Linked DNA regions of Canis lupus familiaris. Each later gene encodes a partner of the first gene's protein in a complex. Links are inferred from orthologs where the notes say so. Each region holds a gene or a part of one and is shown on either strand. Other genes may lie near its edges.

Region 1 (7,477 bases):
GCTGAGCCATCTGCCTCAGGAAGTACTTGGCAACCTGGACTCCCTCGTCAACAGTCAGGTTGAGGTTGGCATCAGTGAGGTGCTCCTGGATCCAGCGAGGCAGTTTCCCACGCTTGTCTGCCCGGGCAAACCGCTTTCAGGAAGAGGGCAAGGAAGAGAGGGAAACATCAGGACCCTGGGGGTGGGGGTGGGCATGGCCCAGGAAGAGCCTGGCAGGCAGAGGCCCCTATGCACACACCTTATCAGCAAAGACCATGAGGCCATAGTCCGTCTTGCCCCGAATGGCACGACCCACACACTGGGCTGCGTGGCGCATGGCATCGAAGGTGAGGAAGTCATTTTCTCGGATCTGGAACTGGTCACGTAGGTACTCCAGCCGTGCCTGCCCGGAGAAGAAACCAGAGTGGTCCCCCTGCCTCCTCCACCCAAGTCCCAGGAGGGCCCAAGAGGCCCAAACATCCTTAGCAACTGCACGTGCTGCTCACCTTAAGAATACGGCTCTGGGTGTAGACGTAGGGGACACCGAACATGATGACAGCCCGCCCGTAGTGGTGCACTGGGGGAGCGAGCACAGGAAGGGGAGCAGGGTTACCAGTGTGGTGCACTGGAGGGGCCAACTTTGCAGGGCCCAGAAGGTTGTGCTGTTCGAGTGGGGAAAAGCATGGGCATGCTTCGAGGGCCCAGCTGGGTGCCCAGGGATAGAGAGGAGGGGAGGGGAGGTCCCTGTGTGCCCAGGCTGTGTCTGTGTGGAAGGGGGGGTCCCGTGTGAACAAACAGCTAGAGCTCCAGGCAGGCACCTGGAAGGGGAGAGCCTGTCCACTCACCAAAGTCAATTCCCTCGGACACTTTGCCTCGGGCCACTGACAGCAGGATGGCTCCACGGCCATTCTCACAGGCCTGGGGAGGGGAGGCCAAGACAGGAGACACATGCTCAGAACTGCCTCCTTCGGGCCCTCTGCACACAGTCTCCTAGGGCACCCTCCCACACCCCCACCCACCTCCTGGTACTTCTCCAGGGCAACGCTGGTCTCAGCCCCATCTTGGGTCTCAATGAAGAGCAGCTTATTCCTCTGGATGTTTTCAAGAATGCCCTAGGGAAGGACAGACAGCAGGCAGGTCAGGCTGGGGGTTGGTACAGGCATCCTGGCTAAAGTCAACTCTGCCCCGATTCCCATGCTATAGACCACTTGTCTTCCCAGGCCTTGGCAGGCCAGTAGAAACTCGGGGAGGGAGCGGGGAGGTGGTATAGGCTGAGGCTGGCCTCACTCCTTGCGGGAAGCTCTGCAATCCAGGCAAGAACCCACCCCTGCCCCCCATCTTTCAGATAAGTGGGGCAGGCAGAGCGCTCAAGATGGCCAACTGGGACACTCCGCCCCTCCAGCTGGTGGTTAGTGGAGGGGCTGATGGAGGCCAGGCCACGGCTGCCCAGAGATTTCAGTGACCCCACACTAGCCATGCGACATTGATCAAGGACAGACGCTGGGACAGAAGGTACAGAAACACACCCCCACAGCGATGGGTCACCTGTACCATTCAGGGGGGCAAGTGCTTTCTAGTGATTAGCCAAGTTCTCTCCTCTCACCCTTAACAAGCACCTGCTTTCACCCACCCAAGAGCTGGGCCGTGGTGCCCTAGAAGCAGACATGTCACGGCAGGCCCCTCCCACACTCCCATCCTTGCAGCCACCCAGGGCCTGGCTGTGGTGAGCCCCATTTCCAGAACGCTCTATGACCTCACCCCTGCACTGTCCCACAGGGGCTCTTAAGTTTTTAACCGGGATGTGGGAGGAAGGGGGGGACCAGGGTATGATGCTGTTTATTCTTTGAACTGTTCAGATGTTTTAGATCCATGTTACCACTTAAAACACAAGACAGACAAAGCCAACACACAGAGGAACAGAGCCAAGAACAGAGGAGAGTGGGGCCTTCCTGGAGAGCAGGTGGCTGGGCTTACCTGCTCATACCAGGAAGCCACGGTGCTCTCCATGTACTGGTAGCTGGTGAAGAAGGCCACGATGCCATCAGGGACAACAGCAGACATCTCCAGCAGGAGGTTCCCATAGTTCCGGATCACCGCTAGGGGTGGGGAGGTAGGGGTCAGAGTGTGCCTGGGTCCTGCTCCCTACTCCCTCGTCAGAGCTTTCCTAACTAATGCCCTGTCTTGAACTTGGAGTTCCTAGAAATCCCAGAGGCCACCAGTAGGGCTGTTCACATACTTTCCACTTCTCTTTCTGGCCTGAGAGAACTGCACCACCCCACCCCACCCCCCGCCCCTGAAGTTAGGCGTGGCCATGTGACTCGACCTAGCCAATGAAATGCATGAAGTGGCTATGTGTCACTTCCAGGTAAACCCTCGTGAGGCCCAGCACCATTACCAGGATCCTTGCCGTCACAATTTAGGGGACGTGGTAAGGGTTCCTGGAGTGAGAAACCACGGGGCAGGCCCCCACCAGTCCACAGTGTCACATACTGTGAGCAAAAAGTAACCTCTGTGTCAAGCCACTGTAATTTGGGGATGTTTGTTACTGCAGCATGACTTAGCCCACTGATACACCTCCCCTCTCAGGAGCCACACAAACCACCATGAGCAGCATACCAATATCTTCCCGGGTCTCAAATTTAGAGCTAATGGCCACCTGGTCATTGCCACGACCAATGATCTGCAGAGAGCAACAGACGTCACAATAAGCAAACGATAAGCAAACAGCACCATTCTGATGCGTTAGCTGCCTGCCGGTGCCAGGCTGAGCTTTTTATAGACACAATGTCATTGAGTGAACCCTCAGCTCCCCTGTTATCTGCACTGCACGGATGGATGACCTCAGGCCCAGATGTGAGCTGCCTGCCTGCCCAAGGTCACGTGGCAAATCAAGGGCAGAGCCGACACTGAACCCAAGTCTGTCTGTGTTGCTAACCAGCAAATATGTGTTACTGGCCTCAGCCTCCCAGCCACACAGTTCCAGAAGAAAGGGTTCCACCACAACCTCACCAACCGCCAGCCACAGGTGCACCTCCCCTTCCCCCCCTCCCCCCCCCCAGCAACTCCACAAAACCATGATGCAGAATGTGGCCGTCACCAGTCCACAACCCCTGAAGGGCAATTCCAAGACCCAAGGAACTCCAGATATTTAAGTTTGGTGCAAACTCCTATAGTGGCAAAATCTGCCCTGACCTGAGTCTATTCAGAGTCCTGACTTACCTCCCTTAGTTTGACGTTTCAAAACATGTTCCTGCTGAAATAAAACTTTCACTGGAGGGAGCTGCCCAGACCCCACTGGGGATGTCACATACTGTACAGCATGTGGTTTGTCTTTAAAATCTGGAAAATTCTCAATTCTAAAATACATCTGGCCCAAGGGATTCAGATAAGGAATTAAGGGCTCATGTTACGATGCCTGTTTTACAAAGGAGGCTGAGGCAGAGAAGGGTCATCATCAAGGTCATGACCAGATGATGAACCAGGCAAAGCCCACATTAACCAAGATGCTGACTGAGGGCCGACTGGTGCCAGGCTCTGGGCCACATAAGCATCTTGTATCCACTATCTCACTATCACCTCAACCGCCCTGGGAGGTCAGGGAGGATGCATCCCCATGTTACAGGTTAGAAACTGAGGCTTGGGGAGTCAGACCCACAGGAAGCAGTAGCATCAAGCCCAGATCTATCTGAATCAAAGCCTATGCCCTCAGGCTAATACTCTCCTGCCTGAGCAGCCTGAGAGGGAACAGGAGGACGAGAGCTGACACATCTCCCCTGGCCCAGCATCCACCCTCTCCCACGCACCATAGGGCAGAGGCAGACCCGGGCCAGCGTCATGGTGAAGGTTGCCATGGTGACGGGGTGGAAGTCCAGAATCTTGGGGTAGATGTCCAGTGGGGACAGCGTCTATAGCAGGGACAGCAGGAGGGATCTTAGCAGGACCGGGCAGAAACCAGGATCCCCATAGTAGAGGACTGGGAGTTTAGGGCAGATAAGGGTCCTCACCCCAGATGTGATGATGACAGACTGGAAACGCTCAAACACGGGTTTGATGGCCAGTGAAGCATCCATGCAGCTATAGGAAGCAGAGGAGGGTGGTGAGGACCATGCTTGGGCCCCCGTGGTCTGTTGACAGCCTCACACTGCGGTTGGGTCTCACCTGAAGTGCAGGATGGGGTTGGCAATGGTGGGGGTCCTGTCATCAAAGGGCTCGATGATGATGGTGAAACCTACAACCGGGTGAGATTCCAGGTCACCGGTCATAGCCAAGCCCACTTGTCTATTACCTCCTCCCCCCATTAGTGATTGGGGCCAACCACCAGTTGCTCAAGCTTAAAACCCAGTCTTTGGGAGTCCAAAGTACACCCCAACCTGCCCGCTTCTCCCAGGGCTGACATCCACTCAGGGAGCATCATGAGCAGAGAGCACTAAAGGTTTACTCCTCAGACACTCTCAAGGCTCTAAGAACCCACACCACCACTCAAGCCAAAGCCTGGAGCCTTCCATGATCATGGTATCTAAGCCATGGGTCAAGCTCTGCCTCCAAAGCCTATCTGCAATCTGACCACTGCCCCCACTCCCTCCCCCACTATCACCTCTAGCCTGGACCATTGCAGTCACCTCACTGGGCATCCAGCTCTTGCTGCCCCTGCTCCCCTCCCAGAAGCAGAGGGACCCTGTAAAATTCTGATTCAGGTCACATCCCTGCCCTGCTCAGAAGCCCTGCACAGCTCCCCATACTCCTTCCGGAGTCCAAAATTATCTGCGAGAACCCGCCACGCTGACCCATTTTCTCCTAGCTCACAGGCCTCCTAAGTTTCAAAAACCACCAGGCTCACTCCACCCCAGGGCCTTTGTACTTGCTGGCCTCACAGCCTGAAAAGCTTCCCAAGGCAGCTGGTTCCATTTGGTCATTTGGAACTCAGCTCAAATGTCAGCACCTCAGGGCTTCCCTGGCCATCCTGGCCACTGCAGGCATGCTCCAACATGGCAACATTTTTCTTGTGAAAAAGTATCCCTTTCTGGAATTATCTTTTTTATTTGAGTCTTTGTTACTTGTCTTCTCCTCTACAGTGTAACTGCCAGGAGATCAGGAATGGGGTCCCTCTTGGTTTCTGCCACTTCCTCAGTGCTGGGCAGGACCCATTTGTTGAAAAAAAAAAAAACCAAAAACACAGGTGGGGATGCCTGGGTGGCTCAGCGGTTGAGCATCTGCCTTCGGCTCAGGTCTTGATCCTGGGGTCTCAGGATCCAGTCCCACACTGGGCTCCTTACAGGGAGCCTGCTTCTCTCCCTGCCGCTCTCTCTCATGAATAAATACAAATAAAATTTTTCTTAAAAATAGGCAAATGAGGGATCCCTGGGTGGCGCAGCGGTTTGGCGCCTGCCTTTGGCCCAGGGCGCGATCCTGGAGACCCGGGATCGAATCCCACGTCAGGCTCCCGGTGCATGGAGCCTGCTTCTCCCTCTGCCTGTGTCTCTGCCTCTCTCTCTCTCACTGTGTGCCTATCATGAATAAATAAAAATTTAAAAAAAAAATAGGCAAATGAATGAATTCACATATTCAATTTTACTTAATTAAAAAAAAAAAAAAAGTTGGGATGCTTGAGTGGCTCAGTGACTGAGCGTCGGCCCTTGGCTCAGGGTGTGATCCTGGAGTTCCGGGATCGAGTCCCACATCGGGCTCCTCACAGGGAGCCTGCTTCTCCCTCTGCCTGTGTCTCTGCCTCTCTCTGTCTCTCATGAATAAATAAATAAAATCTTAAAAAAAAAAATCCTCTGTGCCTGGCCCTGTACTGGGGACACAGTGGGAACCATGACATCTCTGGCCCTGCCCTCTCAGGGCTCATAGTCCTGTCCCCAGAGAGTGACCACTCAGAGTAGACAGAGCTGGAACAGGAGAGCCAAGAGGAAGAGACACACCCTGGGGGGTCAGGGAGGACCTCCTGGAGAAGGGAACATTTTTAACAAGCCAAGAACTGAAGGATGAGTAGGAGGTAGTTGGGGGCTAAGGAATATCGGGATAGACATTCCAGGCAGAAGAATGTGAGGTGTTGGTGGACAGGGAAGTGGGCAGAAGAGGAGAAAGCCAGCCCCAGAAGGAAGAAGGGGAAGGACAGGGGGATGGACACGGAAGGAAGCTTCTAGTGGGACTTGCTGCTGATGGATGCTGATTTGGGGGACAGCCTCTCTATCCTCTAGGCTGGGTACAGGGTATCAGGAAGCCTGACCTGGTTTCCAGGATAGAGTAGTAATCCCCAGGGATCAGACTGAGCCCTCAGCCAGTTTAATGCTAAGGAAGGGGAGGTAGTGCTGACCAGTAAAGTCTCTGGTCCCCTCTCCCTGGCACCTGAGTGCTATACTCAGCTCCTTGTCCCCTCCCTGCCATGCCTTCCTGCCCCCCCAATCCTAGGTACCAGGTCCCACATCTCTCTCCAGCCCCTCTCATCCTCCCATCCTGCCTCAGGTCCCTGCCTCTGCTCTTCCCTTGCTTGGAATCTTCCATGGCTTCCCACTTCCCAGAAGTAGAAGGGCCAACTCCTTACCACCATACCCTACAGTGTAAGTGACCCCACAGAGCTTCTCTGGCCTCGTCCCCCATCCTACTCCATTCTGCAGCCAGAGGGAGCCTCTGAAAATATACATCTGAGCACAAGGCTTCACTAGCTCAAGGACTATCTGTGGAACCTCACTGTACTCGAAACAAAACCCAAACTCCTGAGCCCAGCCCTACAAGGTCCTGAAGGTCCCAGTCCCAACCCCCTGGACTCTGCTGGGATCCTGATTCCAGCTGCCAGGGGGCCTGGCAGAGGCAGGAGATGAGCTTACCCTTGGCATAGGTGCTGACGAGGGTGGCGAAGTTAGCGAGGAGGGTGAGGGGAGAGAAGTCCGCAAGATCGGCAATCTCCAGGGTGTGCAAGAGGGAGCGGAGGCGTTCGGCACAGAATCTGGGGCGGAAGCCATGTGGGGTCAGGTCAGTCCCTCTCTACCCACTGTCAGCGCGCGGCCACACACGCCTCCCCAGGTGACTGGGTGCTCCATGAGGAGAGACTGGAGCCGTTTCAGTCACCAGTGTCTCCTCACCGTACAGCTGCATGTCCTACAGAGCCACGGCCAGATGATGGTGTATACAGAGCAGTGACCATACATCGAGTCACATGGAAACATGTCCCATGTGGTCACACAATCTCACGCAGGCTCTTGGTTCAAAGAGGAGACCCAGAGCTACACCCAGAATCCCAGTCACAACCCGAACCTGCATGGCCACACATACACTCACACCCAGGACCCCTCCCACTGCATCAGTCACACTCGGCCACCCTGGTGACACATACATTCAGAGAACCACACATTCACAGGGTACAATCCCACACACCCTTCATGGACACACACACACAAGGTCACCCAGTCACAAACACCGACAGTCAGGCTTGAGGCTGTCACCCTTCAAGGAGGGCAGGTCCTAGAACAGGAGCGCCTGGTTTCAGAGCCAGGCAGAC
Region 2 (7,132 bases), on another chromosome or scaffold:
ACTGGGCCAGGAGGCCCTGGGGGTGGGGGCTGTGTCCCAGTGGGTAGGGCTGACAGCAGGGAGGCACAGCCTGCCAGTCAGTGCCCAAACTGCCCAGCTAGGGGCTCAGGAGGGGAGGAAGGTGTCCCTGGGATCTGGATCTCTCTCCCTGTCCCCAGCCCTCTCCATGGCCACCTGGTGACTCTCCCAGCCCAGCCCACCCCCTCCCAGGCCAGCAGCCTTCCCGAACCTCTCCCCCATCGTCGGCACCTGCTTCCACCTGCCCCACCTACCTTGAGGGATCTTAGGCTGTACAGCTGAAGCTGTGACCACCTCACCCCCAGCTGAACGCTGAGCTCAAGGACAACCTGAAGGACACCATGACCAAGCGGTACCACCAGCCAGGCCATGAGGGTGTGACCAGTGCTGTGGATAAGCTGCAACAGGAGGTGAGTGGGTGGTGCCATGGGGTGCATACACATCCCCTTGGGCACCCCTGGACCTCTGTATGAACCCTGCCATGGGGGTGGGTGGGACAGGGACTTAGCCTGGGCCGTGTTCCTACCGCAGTTCCACTGCTGTGGCAGCAACAACTCACAAGACTGGCGGGACAGTGAGTGGATCCGCTCGGGCCAGGCGGGCGGCCGTGTGGTTCCCGACAGCTGCTGCAAGACTGTGGTGCCTGGCTGTGGGCAGCGGGACCACGCCTCCAACATCTACAAGGTGGAGGTAGGCTGGTGGATGCCTGGGGTCCCTGGGAAGGGCCGAGGAGCCAGGGGCCCAGGATGCTGGGGGTTGGTGTGGTCACACCTGGAGGGGGGTCGGGCTGCAGCAGTTGGGGGGGTGGCTAGAATCGCCTCCCTTCAGTGCCCTGACCCCTACTCTGCCAGGGTGGCTGCATCACCAAGCTGGAGACCTTCATCCAGGAACACCTGAGGGTCATCGGCGCTGTGGGCATTGGCATCGCCTGTGTGCAGGTTCGGGGGTGGGGTGGGACAGGCCCTGGTGGGTGCTGGGGCACACTATGTGGCTGGCACTGTGCCACACTCATGCTGGCCCTGTGCCACAGGTCTTTGGCATGATCTTCACATGCTGCCTGTACAAGAGCCTGAAGCTGGAACACTACTGAGCATGGGTGTACCACTGTGTATGCCGCAGCCTCGCCACCTGACTACTGAGCTGACACTACTGAGGGCCAGGAGCTGGGCTTCCAGGATGCTGCTCCTTCCCCCCTCCCCACTCTGCCAGGGAGGGTGCGTTCTTAAGCCCATGTGCACATCCCCAAACCATCACCATAACCTCTGGGGATCCCCACCCTCAGAGGGAGCTACAAGTGCCTTTCTCTGCAGACCAAAGGCCTGAAGCTTGCCCCCCCAGGGTGGGGAAGGAGCAGTACCTCTGCCTGTGAGTGGGGTCACAGGACCTTGGGGTTCCTGATGCCTGCGCTCAGCTGGAGGGGCGGACCCACTCTAGGATGCTCCTAGACCCCCAGATGTTCCCATGCAGTCTAAGGAGGACTTGGCTGGGTGGGGTAGGTGAAGGGAGTACAGGACACCTGCATGTGAGGAGTCCCAGGTGTCCGCAGATCCCTGGGAAAGCCAAGTAAGCCCGGTCCTGCCCTGGGGGTCCTGGGCCTCTTGTCCTGAAGTCTCTGCTGCCCGAGCCTCTGCTTGGACTTCCCCACCTCTCTCCCCAAAGGCCACACATTTACTTGTCCACAGTCCTCTCTCCTTCCCAGAAGCAGGGGGGTTTGTGGGTTTTATTCACTGCTGTTATCACAAATGCCTAGAACTGCTCGTGCCACACAATAGGCGCTCAATAAACGTTTGTGGAATGGATTGAGCTTATTGTGTTAGTGACTGTCAGGGTCCTGGTACTCAGGGCCTTCCCCCCACCAGGGTGGACAGAACCACCCACCCAGTGCCAGGACAGGGGCTGGGGCCCGGGGGGTACATTCTGGAGACTGATGGGACTCCAGCGAGAGGCAGCCAGTAGCAGGGACCGCTGAGCACAGGCTGTGAAGCAGAACCATGCCGGTTCTGGGACAGAAAAATGGTGGCAGTGGGGAGAGCCAGAGGCAATGGAGGCCTCAAATGGCCTAGACCTGCTTGTTTCCAAACGTCCTTCTGGCATGGGTAGCCGTTAGGGATGGGGAGAGGGCCTCTGGAACAGGACAGGAGAGGCCTGAGCTCTGCAGGGCATGTACCCCTGGCAGACCCTTCCTCCCCCTGCCGTGATAGGTTTGCTCATTGGCCCTCAGAGGACCGCATGTCAGATACCTGGGCAGCAGGGCTGGCCCTGAAGACGGTGTCAAGAGTCCCCTTCTCTCTTCTAACCACACACTCCTGCCTTCTGCCTGCTTAAGGGCACTAGGGCCTGGTAGACTCCTGTCCAGGGCGACAGCTGTCAGCTGTAAGCCTCAGTGGACCTGGAATAGGACAGATAGCTCTTGGGCAGGCCTGTAGGATTAAGTGCTAATACCCAGGCCACCGGGAGCTTGGCAAACCCTGACACCCAGCAGAGCCTCCTCAGGGCCACCCTCAACCCACTGTGCGGGTCTCAGTGCTGGCTATGGAGGCTGGGCACCATCCCTGCCCCTCCACAGGAACTTGGCTGGAGCCTAGAAGCTTCTGGCAGCAAGATCTCAGGATGGGCAGCCGAGACTGCAGCAGTTATTCCACTCAGGGCTCAAATATCTGGTTGTTGAGATCCTGGGAAGGGATGTGAGGATCTCCGTGCTTGTCCTAAAGGTCAACCAGAACCTGGTGGTGGGCAGGCCAATGTCTCCTGACCCTCAACCTGAGTGCTCTTGGCTGTCTGTGTACTGTCACTGGGCTGTGAGATGCCCTCCACCACCCCCGCCACCTCTGGGCCCTGAACGGTGAGAGCCACGTCTATCCCCAAACAGCTTCAAGCATGAGGCAGGACACAGAAACACCAGGGAGTCCCACAAAGCCAGGCCAACTGTTAGGACCTCTTCATGGTTCTGCAAAGACCTTTAATGGACAGTTCTTTCCAGAGCAGGGACACACATCCACAGGTGGTGGACAGGCATGCTCCATGCCACCCCGACCACACTGGAGTGCCTGGGGGCACGGCGCAGACGGCCCCTGGTGAGCACAGCGGGTGACCGGGTGACGGGCGTGAGCAGGTCACTTGTCACTTCTCCAGAGGCGCGTAGTTGAGCAGCTTCTCAATCAGGTCCACGTGTGCCAGCAGCATGCGGCGGCAGCAGTAGCGCTTCAGGCCCAGCGCATCCAGGGCATCTCTGTGGGTGAGGGGCAGATCACACCCGGTTGGGGCAGGCAGTCCTGGGCACACGGAGGACCCGAACCCTGCTGGAGCAAGCCCCCCCTCCCCGCCCCCGCGGAGGGAGCCGTCTCTCTGCCGTTTCCCAAGCCGATTAGAGTTGTCAGTGTCCCTGGGGCCCAGCCCCTGTTGCCCCAAGGGCTTCCAGAAAATCCCCAGAGCACTGCTCCGACGTGCAGCGCCGCCGAGCTGGGAAGCCGCAGGGCTGGGCGGTTCCTGCCCGGGGCTTCCAGGGCCTCCGGCCGGTTCCCTCACACTCGGTCTTTCCGACAGACTCCCCAGCAACCTGGCCTCCCCGCTCACCCCAAACGCCGCAGGCCGGGGTTAAAGGTGCAGACGCCCGCGAGGCCGGTGCTGACGCCCGCGCTGACGGGCAGCGACGGGAGAGCGGCCCCGGGACGGCCCGCTCCGCAGGGCTCCGTGGCCAGGAAGCCCGGCCCACGACCCCAGAGCCGCGGGCTCGCGGGCGCGGGGGCCTCCGAGGGCGGGAGGGCAGGGAGCCCCGAACTGCTCCGGGCAGGAGCCACGACCTGCCGGGGTCCGTGTGCAAGTCCCCGCGGTCCCGCAGTCCCGCTGCCCGCCTGCCCCCTTGCTCGCGGCCGGCACCTGGTCCCTCCGGGGCCCCCCGCGCCCCGCGCCCCGCCCCCCGCGCCCCGGCCCGACCCGCCGGCCCCGCGCCCAGCAGGGCCCCCCCCGCCCCCCGCGGCCCCGGCTCCGCACGCCGCCCGGCCCGGAGCCTCACCCCTCGGTGTACTCGGCCTGCAGCAGCCCCAGGTAGGCTTCCCACTTGTTGCCGACGATCTTGCCGCAGGTGAAGCAGCGGACCGGGATGATCATGGCGCTGGCGGCGGCGGCGGCGGCGGCGCGGGGACTGGCAGACGGGGCGGCGCTTCCGCCCGGGAGCAGGCCCCGCCGAGGGCGCGTCCATGGCGCGGGGGGGAGAAGTCCCAGTCCCGCCACGCCCCCGGCCGCCCCCGGCCCGCCCCCCGGCCCCACTGCCGCCGCCGTCCGTTCCCTGCCGGGCCGAGCTCCTTCCGCGCGGACCGGGGGCTCCGGGGCCCACGCGGCCGCTACCGGAGCAAGCGTCGCCCCCCCCCCGGCCCTTCGCCTTGGTACGTCCCGGCCTACGGCGGCCTAGCGGGACCGAAAGGGCCCGACGGCGGCGCTTCGCCTTCCTCGTGTCCGCATGACTGACAGCTGCGCGGCGGGCGGACCGCGCGCAGGTACAGAGCCGGTCCGCGGGGATGCGGCCGAGGTCCCGCCCCTCGGAACCCCCGACCGGGACCCGGACCCGAGCCGGGGCCGAGCCGAGCGGGCGCAGAGTTGGAGCCCCGAGCCGAGCCGCAGCAACAAGTGGCGGGGCCGGGCCGGGGCCGGGGGCGCGGGGACCCGCGGCGGGGGGCGGGGGCAGGGGGGCCCCGGAGGGACCTTCCCGCGGCCCCTCCCGGCCCGGCGCGGCGAAGGCTGTCCCCGCCCCGGCCCGGCCCGCTCGGCCGCACTGTAGCCCCGACGGCCGGCTCGGCCGCAGCTCCTGCCCCCCCAGCGCCCCAGCCTGCCCTCTGCGGCCCTGGGGGAAGGGCCTGGGGGTGCGGGCGGTCGGGGCTCTGAGGACTCAGAGCAGGGCGGAGGCTGGAGCGGGTGGTCCTGGAGGGCGGCGTGGAAGAGGCGCCCTGCAGAGCCCGCGTGTGTCGGGGAGCGCATTGATCCTGGCCGGGGGACCCCTTGGATAGGGCCCTGGAGGCCATACCTGCGGGCAGCTCTAGGCCGCGGGTTCGTGCCAGGGCTGGAGTAGGTGGTGGAGTCAGAGATGGTGGGGCAGCAGCCACAGAGGGTGGAAGGGACGATGAGGCTGTGTCCCTGGGGGCGGGGTGAGGTGAGCTCCTCGATCCGGGGGCCACGGGGGGGGGGTGTGTGCAGATCTGTGTGGGGGGAGGCAGGGAGGGCTCCCTGGAGGAGGCAGACTTTGGGGCTGTGGGGATGGATGTGTTCCAGAGCAGCGCCTGCGGGGGGGGGGGGGGGGGCGGGTGTCAGCTAGTCAGGTGGGCTGGGCATGAGTGGGGCCTGTACTCCCCACCCTCCCACGGTGGGTGGTGGATTCTGGCCTCAGCTTCAGGGAGGGAGCCTGAGGGTCCCCTGGGGCCTGGGAGGCGCTGGCCACCTCTGCCTGGGCCCTGGACAGCCTGCCCAGTGCATTTGTCATCCTCCACGCTGCCACGTGCAGAGCCACGAGAGAGGCCACTTCCCTTCCCAGCTGCCCCCCCACCCCACCCACTGGACGCACATCCTGTGCCTGGACAAGAGGGACAGGAGAGGGGGCCTGGAGTCACGGTGGCCTGGGGTCAGACCCAGGCTCCCCTGCAGAGACTATTGGCAACTGTGCAGGTGAGGGACACAGCGGAGGGGACCCAGGCTGTCAGCTGGGTGGAACTTGGGGAGCCGCTGGGGTGGAAGGCTTCCTGGAGGAGGGGCCCAGGGCCTGCCCCACCCATGCTCCTGCTGGGAGTAGTTGTTTACTCTGAAAGAGTGAGGGGAATGAGCCTCCCGCCTTGATCCAGGCCTGAGCCAAGTTGACATTCCTGGAATTCTGTGAGCTGTGTGTAGATTTGGGGGTGGTGGTGGCCTCTTCCTGGGCTCCTCCCTCCAGCTCCCTGATTTCCAAGGACAGACGGTGGGGAGCATCCCGGCTGCACCCTCAGCACAGGTGTGCCGGGACACCCTGTGGGGCCTTGGGTCCTCTTCTCTGTCTCTATCCTGCCTTCCTCAACCCTGCAGGACACTGGGGAGCCTCAGAGGTCAGCCCTGCCAGCTGCCTCGGCCCTGGGTGGCCTCTGTGTGTGTGTTGTGGGGGGAGTTGGGTTGGGCGGGAGGGAGCCCTTAGGGCCCCAGGCACTGGTGGGGAGGAGGGGTGGGGAGGGGAGCCTCGGGGGCCTGCAGGGGAAGGGGGGCCCTCACTTCTCCTCTCTGGTGCAGTGTCAGCACAGATGTGGCCCAGGCCTCTGGGGAGGGAGACTGCCAGCGTTTGGAGCATAGGGTATCTTGTGGGGGGGGCATAGGGAGGGAGGGAGGGCTGTGCCACATGTGGTTGGGAACCCGTGAGCCACGCTTCCTGCCAGAAAAGGGTCACTGCAGGGCAGGCAGGGGCGGAGGACAGCAGTGGAAGCTTCTGCTGCTGAGACGCTCCAGCCAAGAGCCCGGCCCAGTGTACAGGGAATCAGCCGACCCTGCCCACCAGTCCTGGCATCATTTCTCCGTCTGTAGAGTGTGGGTAGAACCTATAGCTGCCCAGCTGGAGGGACCCAGTCCTGGTAATGCAGGCCTGGCCCCTGCTCCTCTTGCTCTGGGCAGATGCAGATGTGCACTCACGGGGAGGGGGGGGGAGCGCTCTACAGGGTGGAGGGTCCCTGCACGGCCATGCGGCCATGCTCGTATGCCTCCTCTGGGTCACTCAGGGTCCCTTGCCTGCTGAGCCTGCACTAGCCCTGGGCCCTGGGGATTGAGGAGTCTTGAGTGACGATGTCTGCAAGCGTGCTTGAGGCTGTGGTGGCCCTGACCTAGTGACCCCTTGGACGAGCCCGGGCTCAGGGCATTTGGGAACAACACTGCCAGGCAGCCCTGTGGTCTGGGCCCCATGTGGTAGGGCTCTGGGGGAACCACACTGGCCTGGAGGTGGGTGGGCACACACTGGGTACCTGAGACAGGGTCCTGATGGTTTCTCTCAACCACCACCTCCAGGACAGAAATGCCCCCCTGGGGGGTGGGGGGGCTGCAGGAGGAGCAGGGATGTAGGGGAGGACCCTGAGATGGGGGTTGGCCTTGCCCAGGCTCTGTGTGTGTAGGGGGTACC

The links.
Region 2: ERCC2 (region 1) and POLR2L share a complex: the UniProt entries of both Homo sapiens proteins name them as parts of the TBP-based Pol II pre-initiation complex. The link is inferred for Canis lupus familiaris from reciprocal best matches to the Homo sapiens genes ERCC2 and POLR2L.

Annotation. Positions count from the first base shown.
Region 1 is NC_049222.1:110,894,377-110,901,853, reverse strand, and holds part of ERCC2 (general transcription and DNA repair factor IIH helicase subunit XPD), read right to left. Parts: intron 6,926-7,477; coding exon 6,807-6,925; intron 4,208-6,806; coding exon 4,138-4,207; intron 4,054-4,137; coding exon 3,984-4,053; intron 3,885-3,983; coding exon 3,783-3,884; intron 2,660-3,782; coding exon 2,596-2,659; intron 2,076-2,595; coding exon 1,954-2,075; intron 1,092-1,953; coding exon 999-1,091; intron 898-998; coding exon 825-897; intron 557-824; coding exon 486-556; intron 383-485; coding exon 239-382; intron 134-238; coding exon 1-133. UniProt on the Homo sapiens protein: ATP-dependent 5'-3' DNA helicase. Component of the general transcription and DNA repair factor IIH (TFIIH) core complex, not absolutely essential for minimal transcription in vitro.
Region 2 is NC_049239.1:45,630,867-45,637,998, forward strand, and holds POLR2L (DNA-directed RNA polymerases I, II, and III subunit RPABC5), read right to left. Parts: upstream 4,196-7,132; 5' UTR 4,126-4,195; coding exon 4,031-4,125; intron 3,248-4,030; coding exon 3,139-3,247; 3' UTR 2,947-3,138; downstream 1-2,946. Other genes in the region: CD151 antigen, read left to right, coding at 324-428, 550-708, 870-956, 1,049-1,108. UniProt on the Homo sapiens protein: DNA-dependent RNA polymerase catalyzes the transcription of DNA into RNA using the four ribonucleoside triphosphates as substrates.